Linked DNA regions of Sus scrofa. The protein of the gene in region 1 binds, or shares a complex with, the protein of each later gene. Links are inferred from orthologs where the notes say so. Each region holds a gene or a part of one and is shown in the gene's direction. Other genes may lie near its edges.

The links. Proteins that work in one complex are often made in the same cells at the same time.
Region 2: MED8 (region 1) and MED20 share a complex: the UniProt entries of both Homo sapiens proteins name them as parts of the mediator complex. The link is inferred for Sus scrofa from reciprocal best matches to the Homo sapiens genes MED8 and MED20.
Region 3: MED8 (region 1) and MED31 share a complex: the UniProt entries of both Homo sapiens proteins name them as parts of the mediator complex. The link is inferred for Sus scrofa from reciprocal best matches to the Homo sapiens genes MED8 and MED31.

Annotation. Positions count from the first base shown.
Region 1 is NC_010448.4:167,859,065-167,864,912, forward strand, and holds the start of MED8 (mediator of RNA polymerase II transcription subunit 8), read left to right. Parts: upstream 1-2,298; 5' UTR 2,299-2,329; coding exon 2,330-2,407; exon of another isoform or gene 2,408-2,469; coding exon of another isoform or gene 2,470-2,475; intron 2,476-3,956; coding exon 3,957-4,075; intron 4,076-5,341; coding exon 5,342-5,486; intron 5,487-5,848. Other genes in the region: protein SZT2, read right to left, coding at 2,127-2,153. UniProt on the Homo sapiens protein: Component of the Mediator complex, a coactivator involved in the regulated transcription of nearly all RNA polymerase II-dependent genes.
Region 2 is NC_010449.5:37,066,750-37,071,815, reverse strand, and holds part of MED20 (mediator of RNA polymerase II transcription subunit 20), read left to right. Parts: intron 1-964; coding exon 965-1,119; intron 1,120-5,066. UniProt on the Homo sapiens protein: Component of the Mediator complex, a coactivator involved in the regulated transcription of nearly all RNA polymerase II-dependent genes.
Region 3 is NC_010454.4:50,731,016-50,735,870, forward strand, and holds the end of MED31 (mediator of RNA polymerase II transcription subunit 31), read left to right. Parts: intron 1-2,213; coding exon 2,214-2,406; 3' UTR 2,407-3,454; downstream 3,455-4,855. Other genes in the region: TXNDC17 (thioredoxin domain-containing protein 17), read right to left, coding at 3,767-3,835, 4,717-4,792. UniProt on the Homo sapiens protein: Component of the Mediator complex, a coactivator involved in the regulated transcription of nearly all RNA polymerase II-dependent genes.

The DNA of each region.
Region 1 (5,848 bases):
TGCTCCTTCTTCAGGCTTAAACGTCATTCCTCAGAGAAGGCTCTCTGATCCACCCCCACCACTTAACAAAAGTAGGTTAAGAACCCCTGTTAAACACTCGGTTCACTCTGTACTCTTTCTTCGAGGCACTTATTATCATAATTCATTGTTCATTCATTCCATTAAATAGGGAATGTGTCTTACCCTGCTCTGAATCCACCCTGATACTTAGCACAATTCTGAGCCCAGAGCAGCATACATAAAATAATTTAAGTATGTGAGGAATGAATGACTTCTTAAATCTGACTACGCCCAAACTTTCTCTCTTGGGGTTGTAATAACTTCTAACAATCAGTCACTGCCTAGGGCAGAACTCTTTAGTCCCTTTAGCTTCTGAGATAAAATTTTCAGAAATGCAAATCAAGAACTTGACAAATGAATTTCAGACCGAGTGAGACTTCCAGGAGTATATGTTTTGATGCCAAGTTACTTTAGGTTTGCAGTGCTCAATATGGTACCCACTGCCATACGAGGTTACCCAGCACTTGAAATGTTGCAAGTCCAAAGTGAGATACGCTCTAAGTATAAAATACACTCCGGGTTTTAAAGACTTGGTACAAAAAAAAGAATGTTAAATATCTCATGTGTTTTTAAATGTTTTGAAAAATGATGACACTGGGGGAATATGGGGTCAAATCAAATATATTAAAATTACTTTTACCTGTTTCTTTTTACCTTTCTAAATGTGGCTACCAGAAAACTCACATATATTTGGCTTGCACCAGACTGCTATTAGACAATGCTGTTTTAGATTATGTCTAAAAGGTATGCTGTATTTCACTACGACATCGCTCCATGTCCTCTCATTTTAATCCATAACAAAACATACTCCACATTCCTTCATGGATTTTTCTTATTACTGCTATTTCTGATGCATAGGCTACTCCGCCATTGATTCTTTTAAATAGGGTAGTTTCCTACAACCACGTTTAATCCTGGGTCTTGTTACATCACATGCCAAGGATCAGGAGATTTACCATCCTGTGGCAACTGTACTGCTTATACTGGAAACATTATGACCACCATACTACAGCAGACCACCTGTTTGGGAGTCTTAGCTCCGCTACTTAACTAGCTGTGTAACTTTGTTACCCTTAACATTTTGTGCCTCCGTCTCCTCAACTGAAAAATGGGGATAAATAATCACGTCTGCTTCTTCGGGTTGAGGGTATCAACTGATGGGGTAAAGCAGGACGACGCGGCACGCATTCGATATGTTATGACAACTCTTTTGTGTCATTTCATTTCACACGTCTCTCACCCTTCCCGTCTATCATATTCTAATACTGGGCACCTTTCCTGGTGATGTTCTTTTCAAACCAGATCTTCTAACTTCAAAACTTTGCTACTCCCTGGCTGAGGGTAGCACTTGGGTAAGGTACTTAACGTCTCTCACTTTCCAGTGTCTTACATATAAATGAAAGTGGACACAGCCACCTTCCTTGCACAAGTCTGAATAACACAATGCAGATCAAGTTCCTTGCATGGTCCTCAACAACTAAGGGATACCTCATGTGCATTTTCTGGTTTAAAATATGGGATCCTCACAAAACACCCTAAGACAGGTGTTTAAGAAGCAGGAAACAGTCAAGCCTTGCCCGAAGTTGCAGAGATGGCTACAGGGCAGCACCAAACGAAGTGAACGACGTTTCACTCCGAATCAAAAAAGAATCTATATATGTATTTTCCCCACGAAACCGAAGCTGCCTTTCAAAATCATGGCGCTGGAACTAAATTAATTCATGCTGATTATGTCATTCTAATACGTGAAGATATGAAGCACCAGCAAAGTAAAATCAAATTGCAAAATCAAAATAAAGGCTTTGTTAATACCATTAGGAAGTCGGAGAACCCGAGGGCCCCAGAGTTGGCGACGTGAATGAAATCTGAGCAAACAGAACAGAGCGACGAGCTTCTCCTCCAGCCCCCCAAGGAAAGTGCGGACCGCGGGGTGAGGAGATGCAACTGCCGGGCCTTCGGGGCGACCCCCGCCGCCCCCAGACCCGGAGGAGGCCACGGCCGCACCCGGCCGCCGGCCCCTCCCCCGCGGATCTCGGGGACCAGCGCTGCGCCCGCCCGCCCCTCACCTCCGGCTCCGGGCGCTCCGAGGCCATCACACAGCCCTCCCGCGCCGGCCCGGGCCAGAGAAGCCCTTCTGCTCGTGACCCCTGACCCGGCTGCCTCTCGCCCGAAGGAACCGGAAACGAATGGGAGGATCGAATCCCAACTTTCTGATTGGCTGACTTGGAAACCGGAAAAGGAAGTGGTTGACGCAACCTCTGCTCCCGCGATGCAGGTGAGGACCGGGTTGGCGCTCGTGACCGCTACTCAGCGTCGGGGTACCGGGACGGAGAGTGGGCTGGAGAAAGTGAGGAGCTGGAGCTGAGAGGAGTGGGTAGAGTCATCGGCCGACGGCTAAAGGGACGCGGGATGGAGGCGAGGCCCACTGGAGAGGGAGCGGCACTGATGACAGATGGGGGTGGAGCCCGGCTGGGAGACCGAGACGGCCCCTGAGTTGGGAGGGGGAAGGCGGCACCGACTTGCTGGGGGTGGGAAAGGGTCGGTCGTTTGGGAAGGTTAAGATGCAGTCCAACGAAGACAGCTCAAGAAGGTGCCGCATTGGCTCAGGTCCCGGCCCGGGCTGTTGAATGGCCGCTGTTGGCTGCCGACACAGCAGAGGATCGATAACTGGAGAGAAGCCCGAGAGTGGAAGGAATTGTGGGGCCGCAGTGACAAAAGCCAAACTAATATAGTCTGAGGCCAGTGGCTGGAACCCGGAATCAAGGCTACTGTCTTGTATATTGGCGAGTTCGCAAGGCAGTTCTACCTCCTTCCTAGCCTGTGCCCTGTGGTAGTTAAGGATGAAATGAAGTAAAGATGAAGAACCAAGATGGACAGGAAATGCTTGGCAGACAACCCCTCACCAGCATTTAAAATAGTTTAGTACTTAGGGGCATGTGCATTTTTGTTTTTGTTTTTCATTTGTCAGTTTCTTGCACCTGGTAGTCTGTCAGTAAATTTTTATAGCTTGACTAAGCTTGTGAAAGGGGCACAGGAATTTTGGCACAGAGATAAAATGAGTGCAGGTTAATGGAGTTCCTGTCGTGGCTCAGTGGTTAACGAATCCAACTAGGAACCATGAGATTGCGAGTTCGATTCCTGGCCTCGCTCAGTGGGTTAAGGATCCGGCGTTGCCATGAGCTGTGGTGTAGGTTGCAGATGAGTCTCGGATCTGGCGTTGCTGTGGCTCTGGCGCAGGCCAGTGGCTACAGCTCCTATTAGACCCCTAGCCTGGGAACCTCCATATGCCACAGGAGCAGCCCTAGAAAAGGCAAAAAGACCAAAAAAAAAAAAAAAAAAAAAAAAGAGTGCCGGTTAATTCAGCAAAGAGCTTGAAACAGCAAATGCTGAGGACAGAGGAAAGGGGGAAATGGCCGTGGTGGTGGCAGTGGCAGGTGTTCAAAGGAACCTTCACATGTAGGTAGATTTTTCAGAAATTGTGTCATTGGCAGGAACAGCCAGGCTCCCAAGGCAGGTTTAGGACAGCAGAAGTCAGAGTACCTATGCTGCAGAGTGGCACAAGAGATAATGACCCCGAGGCATTAGGTCTGCTGTGTCTGCTCAGTGAGTGAGAGTATAGTGTATGTGATAGGAAACCAAGCACGGATTAGGGGTGATGAGAGAAAGGAACCAGCAGGTAGGAGGAATTAGGCCAGGCGAGTGGGTTGAAAGGTCTGAGGGTTGGTGCTGTCTATAACCCTGATACCAAAGATAGAAAACAGCCTGGCTCTCCCTGTGCCAGTGAGATCCTGTGTCACATGACTGGTGTTGCGCACTGTCATCCTGGCTTTTCAGCCCGCCTCTGTGGGCACCACCCTCACCCTCATCTGAGTAACATCCTATTCCTGTTGGTGCAGAGGGAGGAGAAGCAGCTTGAGGCATCATTAGATGCACTCCTGAGTCAAGTGGCTGATCTGAAGAACTCACTGGGGAGTTTCATTTACAAGTTGGAGAACGAGTATGACCGGCTGACCTGGTAAGCAATGCCAGGGCAAGCTGGGGAGGGCTCCATGGGTGGGGGGGGCCAGGTCACCAGGTGGATAGGACATTGCCAGTGATGTAAACATTTATCAGTTTGCAAACATCTTTTGATTTAAAAAGAGCTGAGTTTCCCAACGTGTAACACTGAAGTTGGCTTTGGGCCTCCCTGGTAAGGAAGCAGAGAAATGCCCAGTTTTCCAACTCAGGGTCTTTCTAGCTTTTGATTCTCACCCTCTGATGTCTCTGGGAGGAGGTCCTCCCACTTCAGTATTCATATGGGATCTCTTGCCTTGGACGTGGCTGAGTCTTTTAGGTCCAGTCTACTTTGAAAATGTAGATCCTATATTTAGGTCGGAAAGGAGGCTTTTAGCTAGTTTCTGAAGTTTGAGTGATAACAGTGGAGCTATGGTTCCTGTTTTGCCGCTGTTCTCACCCCAGTCAAATACAGCAGCCCCCCTTTATTGGTGGGGGATAAGTTTTAAGACCCCCACTGGGTGCCTCAAACTGATAGTATCAAACCCTGTACTGCATATACTACTAACTGGATGGGTATTGTACCAGCAAAGATAGGCTGGGCAAAGCAATGATTAACATCCCAGCTGGGACAGAGCAGGATGAAGCCAGAATCCATCACACTACTCAGAACAGTGCCCAATTTAAAATTATAAATGGAGTTCCCGTCGTGGCGCAGTGGATAACGAATCCGACTAGGAACCATGAGGTTGTGGGTTCGGTCCCTGCCCTTGCTCCGTGGGTTAACGATCCGGCGTTGCCGTGAGCTGTGGTGTAGGTTGCAGACGCGGCTCAGATCCCGAGTTGCTGTGGCTCTGGTGATGGCCGGTGGCTACAGCTCCGATTGGACCCCTAGCCTGGGAAGCTCCATATGCCGCGGGAGCGGCCCAAAGAAATAGCAAAAAGACAAAAATAAAATAAAATAAAATTATAAACTGTTTACCTCTGGAATTTGCCATATGGTATTTTTGGACTGTGGTTGACCACAGGTAGATGGAACCTCAGCAAGTGAAACTGCAGATTGGGGGTTGCTGTTGTAATGCCCTGCCTTCTTTCTCCCATCTGTGTCAGAAAGTGAAAGTATGTCCCTCTTTCTTAACCCCATAATCGCTGTAGCCAGTCTGATTCCCATCCAGAGCAGCCAGAGGGCTGTGAGTCTTTTGGGGGTGGGTCTGGGTATTCCGGATCTGAAAGACCCCTTTGAGGCTACTTTCCTGAGCACGTTCTGACACCTTCTTACCACCACCAGGCCGTCTGTCCTGGACAGCTTTGCCTTGCTTTCCGGACAGTTAAACACTCTGAACAAAGTCTTGAAGCATGAAAAGACACCGCTGTTCCGTAACCAGGTCATCATCCCTCTGGTGCTGTCCCCAGACCGAGATGAAGACCTCATGGTAAGAGGCAGAGGGTGCAACTTGGGCAGTTGAATCCTTAGACGAGGACTTAGAGCACAGCTGTTGGGCGGCTCTTCTGGAAGTTCTGAATGTGCAGTAGGACGTCACCATGAGAAGTGAGACCTGGGAGTTCCCATCGTGGCTCAGTGGGTTAGGAACCCGACTGGCATCCATGAGGATGCGGGTTTGATCCCTGGCCTTGCTCTGGGTTAAGGATCTGCTGTTGCCGCGAGCTGTGGTGTAGGTTGCAGAGGCGCCTGGGATCTGGCGTGGCTGTGGCTGTGGCGTAGGCCAGCGGCTGTAGCTCTGATTGGACCCCTAGCCTGGGAACCTCTGTATGCCGTGGGTGCGGCCCTAGGAAG
Region 2 (5,066 bases), on another chromosome or scaffold:
CTTAACCACAGTGGGAACTTGGAAAGCTTTCGGTGGAGCATTTAAGAGCATGGACACGGAGCCACCTCACTTGACTACACTGCATTAAGCAGTATGACCTTGTGCCAGTTACTCAACCTCTCTGTTCAGTAGTTTTCTCATTTGTAATGAAGAAATGATTATGCTGTGTCTTATAGGGCTGATGCAAGTTAATTCATCTAAAGGCTTTGGGCACTGCCTGGCTCATAGTTGGTGCTTGGTAATTATTACCTACCACTTAAAGTAGAAGCCAGTTGCACTCTCCATAGAAGGAAATCTTGGAAATAACTTTTTATCTCATTGTTTTGGCTAAATTCTTGTTGCCTCTCACTCTCAAAGATTAGAAACTTGAGGCTTGCTTTCTCTTTGATCCAAGGATCCTTAGAACTTTCTTCATTGATGAAAATGTTCTATGTCACTGTCCGGTACACCAGTTCCTAGCCACTTGTGGCTATTGAGCTATTGAAATGTGGGCAGTGCAACTGAAGAGTTGAAGTTTTCATTTCTGTCGCACATGGCTTGTGGCTCCTGTGCTGGACAGCTTTCGTTCAAAGTGTTAGAGAGTTAGTAAAAACACAGTAACCCCAAATGGAGGCTTTCTCCTTGATGGAGTCAGAACTGAAAGAAACACAGAGTAAATTCCTTTCTCATCACATGACTTAGTGTCACTGAATGCTCGCTCTGTGTGCCACCTAAAACATTGGCACACATGCCACACTTGGGAAATGCAGGTGCAGTAGGCTGTTCTCTGCAAATGTGTGAGACTCCTAAGACCAAGCTCTGGTTCTTAGCAGAGCCCCAGGGACTGTGGGCCTCTATTTCCTTGTCTTTATGAGGGGGTTGGGTTGACGGTGTCTAAGCTGACACCTGGCCCTGATGAGCTGTGATCCTGCGACTGGCTCACGTGAGTCCATGTGCATAATGATTTTGGTCCCCTCCCTTCCAGTGTGTCCCAGATGCCTGTGGCCGAGGGCAAGAGTGTCCAGCAGACTGTGGAGCTACTCACCCGGAAATTGGAGATGCTTGGGGCAGAGAAGCAAGGAACATTTTGTGTGGACTGTGAGACCTACCACACTGCTGCCTCTACCCTTGGCAGCCAAGGTCAGTGAGCGATGGATCTCTGGGATGGCTGGAACCTGGCTTGGACTTAACAGACGTTCACATTCATTCATTGAAGTCTTTCTGTTCTTCTGCTAAGGGTGGTATTCTTGGGCATGTGGCCAATGTGTTTCTGAATTCATTAGTTTTTTGTTTGTTTTGTTTTTCATTTCTTTTTCTGGCCGTACCTGTGGCATGTGGAAGTTCCTGGATTAGGGGTCAGTTGGAGCTGTAGCTCCTGGCCTACGCCGCAGCTTGCAGCAATGCCAGATTCTTTAACCCACTGATCAAGGCCAGGGATCAAACTCACATCCTCATGGATACTAGTTGGGTTCTTAACCCACTGAGCCACAAGAACTCCAGAATTCATTGATTTTTTTTTTTTTTTTTTGTCTTTTTGTCTTTTTTGTTGTTGTTGCTATTTCTTGGGCCGCTCCCGCGGCATATGGAGGTTCCCAGGCTAGGGGTTGAATCGGAGCTGTAGCCACCGGCCTACGCCAGAGCCACAGCAACGCGGGATCCAAGCCGCGTCTGCAACCTACACCACAGCTCACGGCAACGCCGGATCGTTAACCCACTGAGAAAGGGCAGGGACTGAACCTGCAACCTCATGGTTCCTAGTCGGATTCGTTAACCACTGCGCCACGACGGGAACTCCAGAATTCATTAATTTTTGACTTTATTTCTTAGACTGGGCCTATGTTGAAGTCTTTTTTTTTTTTTTTTTTTTTGGTCTTTTGTATTTTTAGGGCCTCACCCACAGCATATGCAGGTTCCCAGGCTAGGGGTTGAATCAGAGCTGTAGCTGCCAGCCTACACCACAGCCACAGCAACATGGGACCACATCTGTGACCTACACCACAGCTTATGGCAATGCCAGATCCTTAACCCACTGAGCAAGGCCAGGGATTGAACCTGCGTCCTCATGGATACTAGTTGGGTTCATTAACCACTGAGCCATGACAGGAACTCCATGTTGAAGTCTTTTTGCACTTTGCAGTTTTTTTTCTTCTTTTTAGCACCACACCTGCTGCATATGGAAGGTCCCAGACTAGGGGTCGAATCTTTTGCGGCAAGAATCAAAAAGAGATAACAGTTGTGAAAGCATTTGTAAAACAAGACACTTGTGTGTAGATAGAGGATGACATGCTACTTCTGTGAAATTCCCTGGCCTGGGTTCTGTTTTCTGATCAGAGCTTTACTTTCAAGGAGCTACAGTCTAGTAGGGGGAACCATACACTCTTTGGCAGGCAGTGGGCTAGGATGGAAGTAGGTCAGAAGGCCTGGAGTTCCGGTTCCGCTGCTGACTGGCTCTGCGCCTTTAGATGTGCAGTTCTCGCACTGACTGGTGATAGCATCCCCTGGAGAGGAGGAAGGTGGGATGGAGGGAGGGCTCTGATAACACCCTGATCCATGGGCCCCACCCCTAGAGTTTCTGACCCCGGAGGTGTAGGGTGGGGTGGATGTGCATTTCTAACCAGTTCCCAGGCGGTGGTGCTGCTGCTGGTCTGCGACCAAAAACCTTAGTTGCCTTTCAGAATATTTTCGGGGCAGTAAAAGCACCTGCAGACTCTCATAGTATGAATTAGTGTATAATCACAGTGAGTATGCTCAGGAGCAAAATGACCCATCAGCTTTGGGTGTCTTTGTGTGAGGGTTGAAAAGTTTTGAATTGGATTTAGCATGTGAAAGGTGTGAATTTGCAGCAGGTGTCAGGAGGGTGCAGGGGGAGGTGAGTGTAGAGCCTATCGGGTTCAGGAAGTGGCAGCCAGTAGAGGCCTGCATAGAGATCACAAGCCCCCACCTGTCTCCTCACTCTTATCCCCACCTGAACCCTACTCTGTCTTTATAGCCTGGTTTAGGTCCTCTATTTCCCATGAATGTTTTTCCTGCTGACTCTTGCCCACTTTAACCTCTCCCTTCCCTGAAGTCTTTCCTTCTTTCTGAAAGACCTCTGGTTACCCCAGACAAGCGACTTTTGTTTTATTGTCTTTTTTTTTTTTTTAGGCCAAACCCGCGGCATATGGAAATTCCCAGGCTAGGGGTCCAAACAGAGTTGCAGCTGCTGGCCTACACCACAGCCAGAGCAACTCGGGATCGGAGCCACTTCTGCAACCTACACCACAGCTCAGCTCACGGCAGTGCCAGATCCTTAACCCACTGAGTGAGGCCAGGGATCGAACCCCCATCCTTACGGATACTAGTTGGGTTCCTTACTGCTGAGCCACAATGAGAACTCCTGTTTTGTTGTCTTTTAAGAAGTTTCTTGCTTGTCTTTAGTGAGGTTGCCAGCTTCTTGAGGCCAGGGGCTATGTCCTCTGTTTGTATGACTCTTAAGCCCTAGCATAAAGTTGGGGATAGTTTAAATATTTAATAAGTATTTGGGGGAGTTCCCGTCGTGGCGCAGTGGTTAACGAATCCGACTAGGAACCATGAGGTTGTGGGTTCGATCCCTGCCCTTGCTCAGTGGGTTAACGATCCGGCGTTGCCGTGAGCTGTGGTGTAGGTTGCAGACACGGCTCGGATCCAGCGTTGCTGTGGCTCTGGCGTAGGCCGGTGGCTACAGCTCCGATTCAACCCCTAGTCTGGGAACCTCCATATGCCGCGGGAGCGGCCCAAGAAATAGCAACAATAACAACAACAACAACAACAAAGACAAAAGACAAAAAAAAAAAAGTATTTGGGATTGTGGCAGTCAGTCCATTAACCCTTTTTAAATTTTTTTTATTTTTTATTTTTTTTAGTAGCCATCTACAGAAGTTCCTGGGCCAGGGATTGAATCAGAGCCTCAGCTGTGACAAGCTGCTGCAGTGCTGGATCCTTAACCCACTGCACCGGGCTAGGGATCGAACTGTGCCTCTACAGCAACTTGAGCCACTGCAGTCGGATTCTTAACCCACTGCGCCACAGCAGGAATTCCAGTCCAATCATTCTAATAGTGAAAGAACCTTGCTTTCTGTTTTTTGCCTTCTTCCATTTTCCACTTAACTAGATAGATACAGCTTTTCTTCCTTCTTGCAGGAAACTGTGGTACTCAGCAAGAAGTCATTTCTCAGAGACTAGAACAGGCAAGCTGGGATTTGAAACTGGATCTTCTGATTCTAGATCCTGAGTTCTTTCTGCTGTAGTTGTGCTGCTGGCTTCCATAGTCAGCTCATAGGTGGCTTACTCTTCTCTGAGGGCTCACCATTGCCTTTGGGATGAAGACTGACTTGGGCAGGAAGGCAAGGCTCTGGCCTCATGCTCAGATGCTCCCCTTTGCTGCTGCTTTGGGGCCACTTCCTGTGTTTTAAAGAGGGAGGAGGCCAAGGAAAGTTAGGGATAGATGGGAACGAGAGTAGCTGCTTTGTTTGGTATGCTCAAATGCTGTTACTTTTATTTTCCTTATTATGTGATATATGACTACACAAAAGTCCATATGTAAAATCTCTGTGAGTTATTAGTCATCAGTAATCATTCATTTGTGAGCCCATCACCAAGAATTAAATTGTGATCTGGAGTTCCTGATGTGGCCAAGGGGGTTAAGCACCCGAACAGTCTCTGTGAGGATGCAGGTTTGATTCCTGACCTTGCTCAGTGGGTTAAGGGTTTGGTGTTGCTGCAAGTTGTGGTGTAGGTCTCAGACGCTTCAGAGTCTGCATGGCTGTGGCTCTGGTGTAGGCTGGCAGCTGCAGCTCTGATTTGACCCTTCGCCTGGGAATGTTCGTTTAAAAAGAAAAAAATGAAGCTGTTAATTAACTCTGTTGAAGTTCCGTGTGTGCCCTTCACCTTTCTCGGGGGGAGGAGGGTTAGGGTGATTTCCACCTGCCCCCTCACCTGCTGGTTCTCTCACTTCCTCTGGAAAAGGCTGTTGGGGCGGGGCTTCCACCCCGGGACTGCTGAGGTGATGCTGGCTTGCCCCTTGGCCTCATTCCAGCATCAGACACTCTTCCCCGTCTGCAGGCGAAGCT
Region 3 (4,855 bases), on another chromosome or scaffold:
TAATTTCACCTAAAAACAACTGGAAATAATAGAATTTCTGTATATTCTAACCAACAGACCTCATTCACATTTTGCCAGCTGTCTCACCAATATCCTGTGTCTGGTGTAGTATCCAGTCTAGGCTCAGATGCTGCATTTTGTTGTCATGTCTTCTTAGTCTCCATTAATATGAGTTTTAAGTCTTCTTTTTTTTTTCCCCTCCATAAGTGACACAGAAATGATGTTATATCCTTCTTGGTATGTCAGGAGTCACAGGCAGTCACTTCATTCTATGACTGGTGATATTAATTTTGATCACTTGGTTGAGGTGGTGGCTGTTATTTTTATCCATATCAAGTACTATTTTTCCTTTTGTATTTAATATGTATCTTGTGAGGAAATACTTTGAGTCTGTAGGAATTTCTTGTTTCATATTTCATTCTTTTACCCACTAACTTTAGCATTTACTGAAGATACTTACTTGCTTGAGACAGTTTTTACTGTGGTGACATGCTTTGTTTTTTGTCTTTTTAGGGCCGCACCCACGGCATATGGAGGTTCCCAGGCTCAGGGTCAAATTGGAGTTATAGCCACCAGCCCACACCACAGCCACAGCAACATGGGATCCAAGCTGTGTCTACAACCTACACTACAGCTCATGGCAACACTGGATCCTTAACCCATTGAGTGAGGCCGGGGGTCGAATCTGAGTCCTCATGGATGCTAGTTGGGTTCGTTAACCATTGAGCCACGATGGGAACTCCTCTGTGGTGATGCCTTTTTTTTTTCTTTTTTTGTCTTTTCACACCCATACCTGCAGCATATGGAGGTTCCCAGGCTAGGGGTCTAATTGGAGCTGTAGCCTCGACCTACACCACAGCCACAGCAACGCGGGATCCGAGCTGTGTCTGCGACCTACACTACAGCTCACCCCCCTGGCAACACCGGATCCTTAACCCACTGAGCGAGGCCAGGGATCAAACCCGCAACCTCATGGTTCCTAGTCGGATTTGTTAGCCACTGTGCCACAACGGGACCTCCTGTGGTGATATTCTTGATTCCATCATTCTCTGTTCATTTATTAGTTGGAATTCACTTGAAGGAACGTTTCCTTGTTTCTGATTTCTTTCTTCATTTTAAAAGGTTAAATCAATATGGATTCTTTATCTTGTGGATTGTAATTTTTTATTTTCTTATGCTAGTGATCCCAGATGTAGCCAGTGGGAACCCCTTCAAATTGGCTCTTGAGGACTTTTGACATAGCCGCCTAATCTTTAGAGCATTTTCCTTTCTGGCACTACATATATTCCAGGCTCATCTTGTTCTTTCCCTGTGTTAGCTATGCCAACAAACCCTGGATAATGCTATTTAAAACCCACGACCTGGATACTCAGTGTACTCTTGGTACTGGAGTGCCATTGCTTCTAGGCCTTCTCTGCACGTAAAGCAAGGAACAGTGTGTGTGTGTGTGTGTGTGTGTGTGTGTGTGTGTGTGTGTGTGTGTGTGTCTATGTGTCTATTTCTGTATCTGTCTCTATATGTTAAAAGCCACTCAGTTCATACTGATGTTTTCAATTCCAGCTCAACAACAGGATTCTTTCTAGCCTCCCCCCTTCCTTATCTGAGATTCCTTTCCTGAGAGCTGGATATTTGGCTATTTACAGTGTACATACTTATGTATTTGCTCAATCTTAGCATATATGTACATAATTTCAAAATTGTTATATCCCTATGGAAAACTAGGATACAATATTTGTGCATAGTTCTTTCTGAAACTGACTCACTTTTAAAATAAAAGCTGTCTTTTTATCATTATTTATGGAAAACCAATAGGTGTTAATTAAACCCACAATTACTAAAATAAATAGTGTTCATGTTTATCACCTTGAAAACCACTGGAATAGAATAGCATGATTTGCCCCCAAATGTTGACTGTTTACCAGTTATTGTGTAGTCTTAGGCAAGTTATTTAATCTTTCTAAATTTAAGTTTGCTCACTTTTGAAAATTTTGCTGGCTTTTGATGATAAGCTTTTCTGTATAAGCAAAAAAAAAAAAAAAAGAACTGTACTATCAAGATAGACTAAGTTAATGTTAGGTTGCAGGATCATCTGGTATGGTAACACAAATGATACCGTAGAAATGGTAGGCTGCAGGATCGTTTTTGAATAACAACTAGAGCATGGTGTTATTGACTTAATTATGTTGATAATTAACTTATAAACTTAACCCCAGGTACCCTCAGTGTTTACACATGTTAGAACTGCTCCAATATGAACACTTCCGCAAGGAGCTGGTGAATGCTCAATGTGCAAAATTCATTGATGAGCAGCAAATTCTGCATTGGCAGCACTATTCCCGGAAGCGGATGCGCCTTCAGCAAGCCCTGGCAGAGCAGCAACAGCAAAATAACACATCAGGAAAGTGAAAAGCTGATCCAGACCAGGCTCTTACGACATGTATATATTGCTTTTGTACATGAAGACAGAAAAAGACTCTTGCTCCGAACCTTTATTGTGACAGCACCCAGAACCGATAGTGTGCTATTTAATTGAACTAATTTTTTATTCTCAATAGATTATTTCTTTTAAACTAGAATTGTTCTTTCTCTGTGGATCTGTAAGCTTTCATTAGTATTTAATAGTCAACTGACTAAGAGTAGAAATGTTAGGTGCTTCAGACCAATTTTAGAGTTGGGGAGCTGGGGCAAGGGGAGAGCCACCAAATATCCCAAAGTTTAAGCAAAACTGTTCATGATGAACAGTGGGACCAGGGGCAAATCTGTCTCTAGGAACCTTGCTGTCCCCTCAGATCAGCTACGGCACCCTTCTAAGGAGTGAGAGAAGTGGAATCAGTGACCTCTACACATCAAAGCAGGAACTGCATAAATTTCCTACATTCTGCAGGGCAGGAGGCATACCTGGAGCACCAGCTACTTTGCAGGAGAGCCTTAAGGGAGAATTGAGGTCAGGGAGTGTTTGTGGTTAATTACTAATAGGACTCTCGACCTTAGACTATAACAAAGGTGAGGTGCCTCAGATACTTGTGCTCATTTGGGAAAGCTAACTTTTTTTTTTTGGCAGATACCACAAACCAGGCACTATGTTAAGTGCTTAGTTGCATTCTCATTTTATCCTTAGAACAGTCCTTGTTCATAAAGGAGAACACTTAGGTGTAGACAAGTTAGGAACCTTGCCTGTGGTTACACAGCTAGTAGGTGATAGTCAGTGAGACTGGCTAAAAGGCTAGGTTATATGGCCTCCCACCACTAGGTTGTATGGCTTCTGACCTCTCCGCCACCTGCCTCATCCCGCACAATCAGACAGCTGTAAAACAAAAGCAGGGGCTGGATTAGATGTGCCTTGCTATCCTTCAGTGGTTAGATTAAGTTCTACATTCTAAAGCCAAAGATGTTTTAGGATAACAGTTCTTTTGTAAGTTCATGGAATTTAAAGTAAAAGATCCTAACTTCTTTAGAAGTCTGGAAACTATCTTCTTCACTATCAGCGGCTTTTAGATATTTCTGCCCATCTCCAATAATATCCTCCCCTTTGGGCTACTACTGCTACTCCTGAAGACTTAGTTTATCCTTAGTTCAAACATATCCATATATTAAAGCAGACTAAGGGTTCATGAGCATTTTAATTGTACTCTCTATTATTTAGACATACACAGTTTTTCTTTTAATCATCATTTATTTATTGCTAACATGAATTCAAAGCAAGTGTGCAGTTTCTTTTATACTAGAGCAAATCAGGAAATCAAGACACAATTGCCATCATCAAATCTTACTCTTCAGAGAACAACATCTCCACGAGGTTGGTCTGAAGACACTCAGATTCTACCAGTTTTTGAGGCTGTAAAAGAAGAACAGTCTTATTTTAACCCATCACTACAAAAATGTTATTAGGAGGGGAATGAGTTCTGCCTTGAATGACACAGATCTTGGAACAGAAATTATCAACTAGTTGTAACACATTTTATGAAATAGTTAAGGTATTTGCTTTAAGGTAAATCATTAAAATTCTTGGCTCCCTGGACTAAAACAGGAGACAGCAAGCCCAGTGTCCCCCCTTTCCCTTAATTCTTCAATTCAGAATTCCAGGGTCATGACTTAACTAGAGGTGCCCTTTCATCAAGAATTATGGATTAAAGAGAAAGCAACATTGATGGCACTCTTTTAAGGGATTATATGTTAACCAACTTTGTTCAGCAGTGCCTACCGAATTTAAAAATAAGAATGGCTTGGGAGTTCCCTTCGTGGCTCAGCGGTTAACAAACCTGACTAGGATCCATGAGGATGTAGGTTCGATCCCTGGCCTCATTCAGTTGGTTAAGGATCTGGCATTGCTGTGAGCTGTGGTGTAGAAATCCAATGTGACTTGGATCTGGCATGGCTGTGGCTGGCAGCTGTAGCTCCGTTTCGATCCCCAGCCTGGGAGCTTCCCATATGCCACAGGTGCAGCACTAAAATGCAAAAACAAAAACAAAACCCCAGCCAAACAAACAAAAAAGAATGGCTTTTAAGAAAGCACTGAAAGAGCTAATATTTGCATTATTAATAATTTATTGGGACTGGCCATAGGGATAGACAGCTTTTGTGCTATGAATCCATGCTAAAGAGCAATATGATATTTGGGATGAAATGTCAAGGTCTTTTCAAATTTGAATCCAGAACAAGTTAAAAGAGTTGATAGGGTGAATTGTATCCCCAGCACAGTTAAAGAAAGATACTCACTGTTCCATATTTAAGTAGTGTAGGCACTGCGGTTAATTTCAACTTTTTCCTGAAGTCATTATTTGGATCTTTCCAACTATTTCAAAAAAAGAAAAGTGATCATGAAAAATTTACTTGGTTTCTTACAGTCTGCTAAATA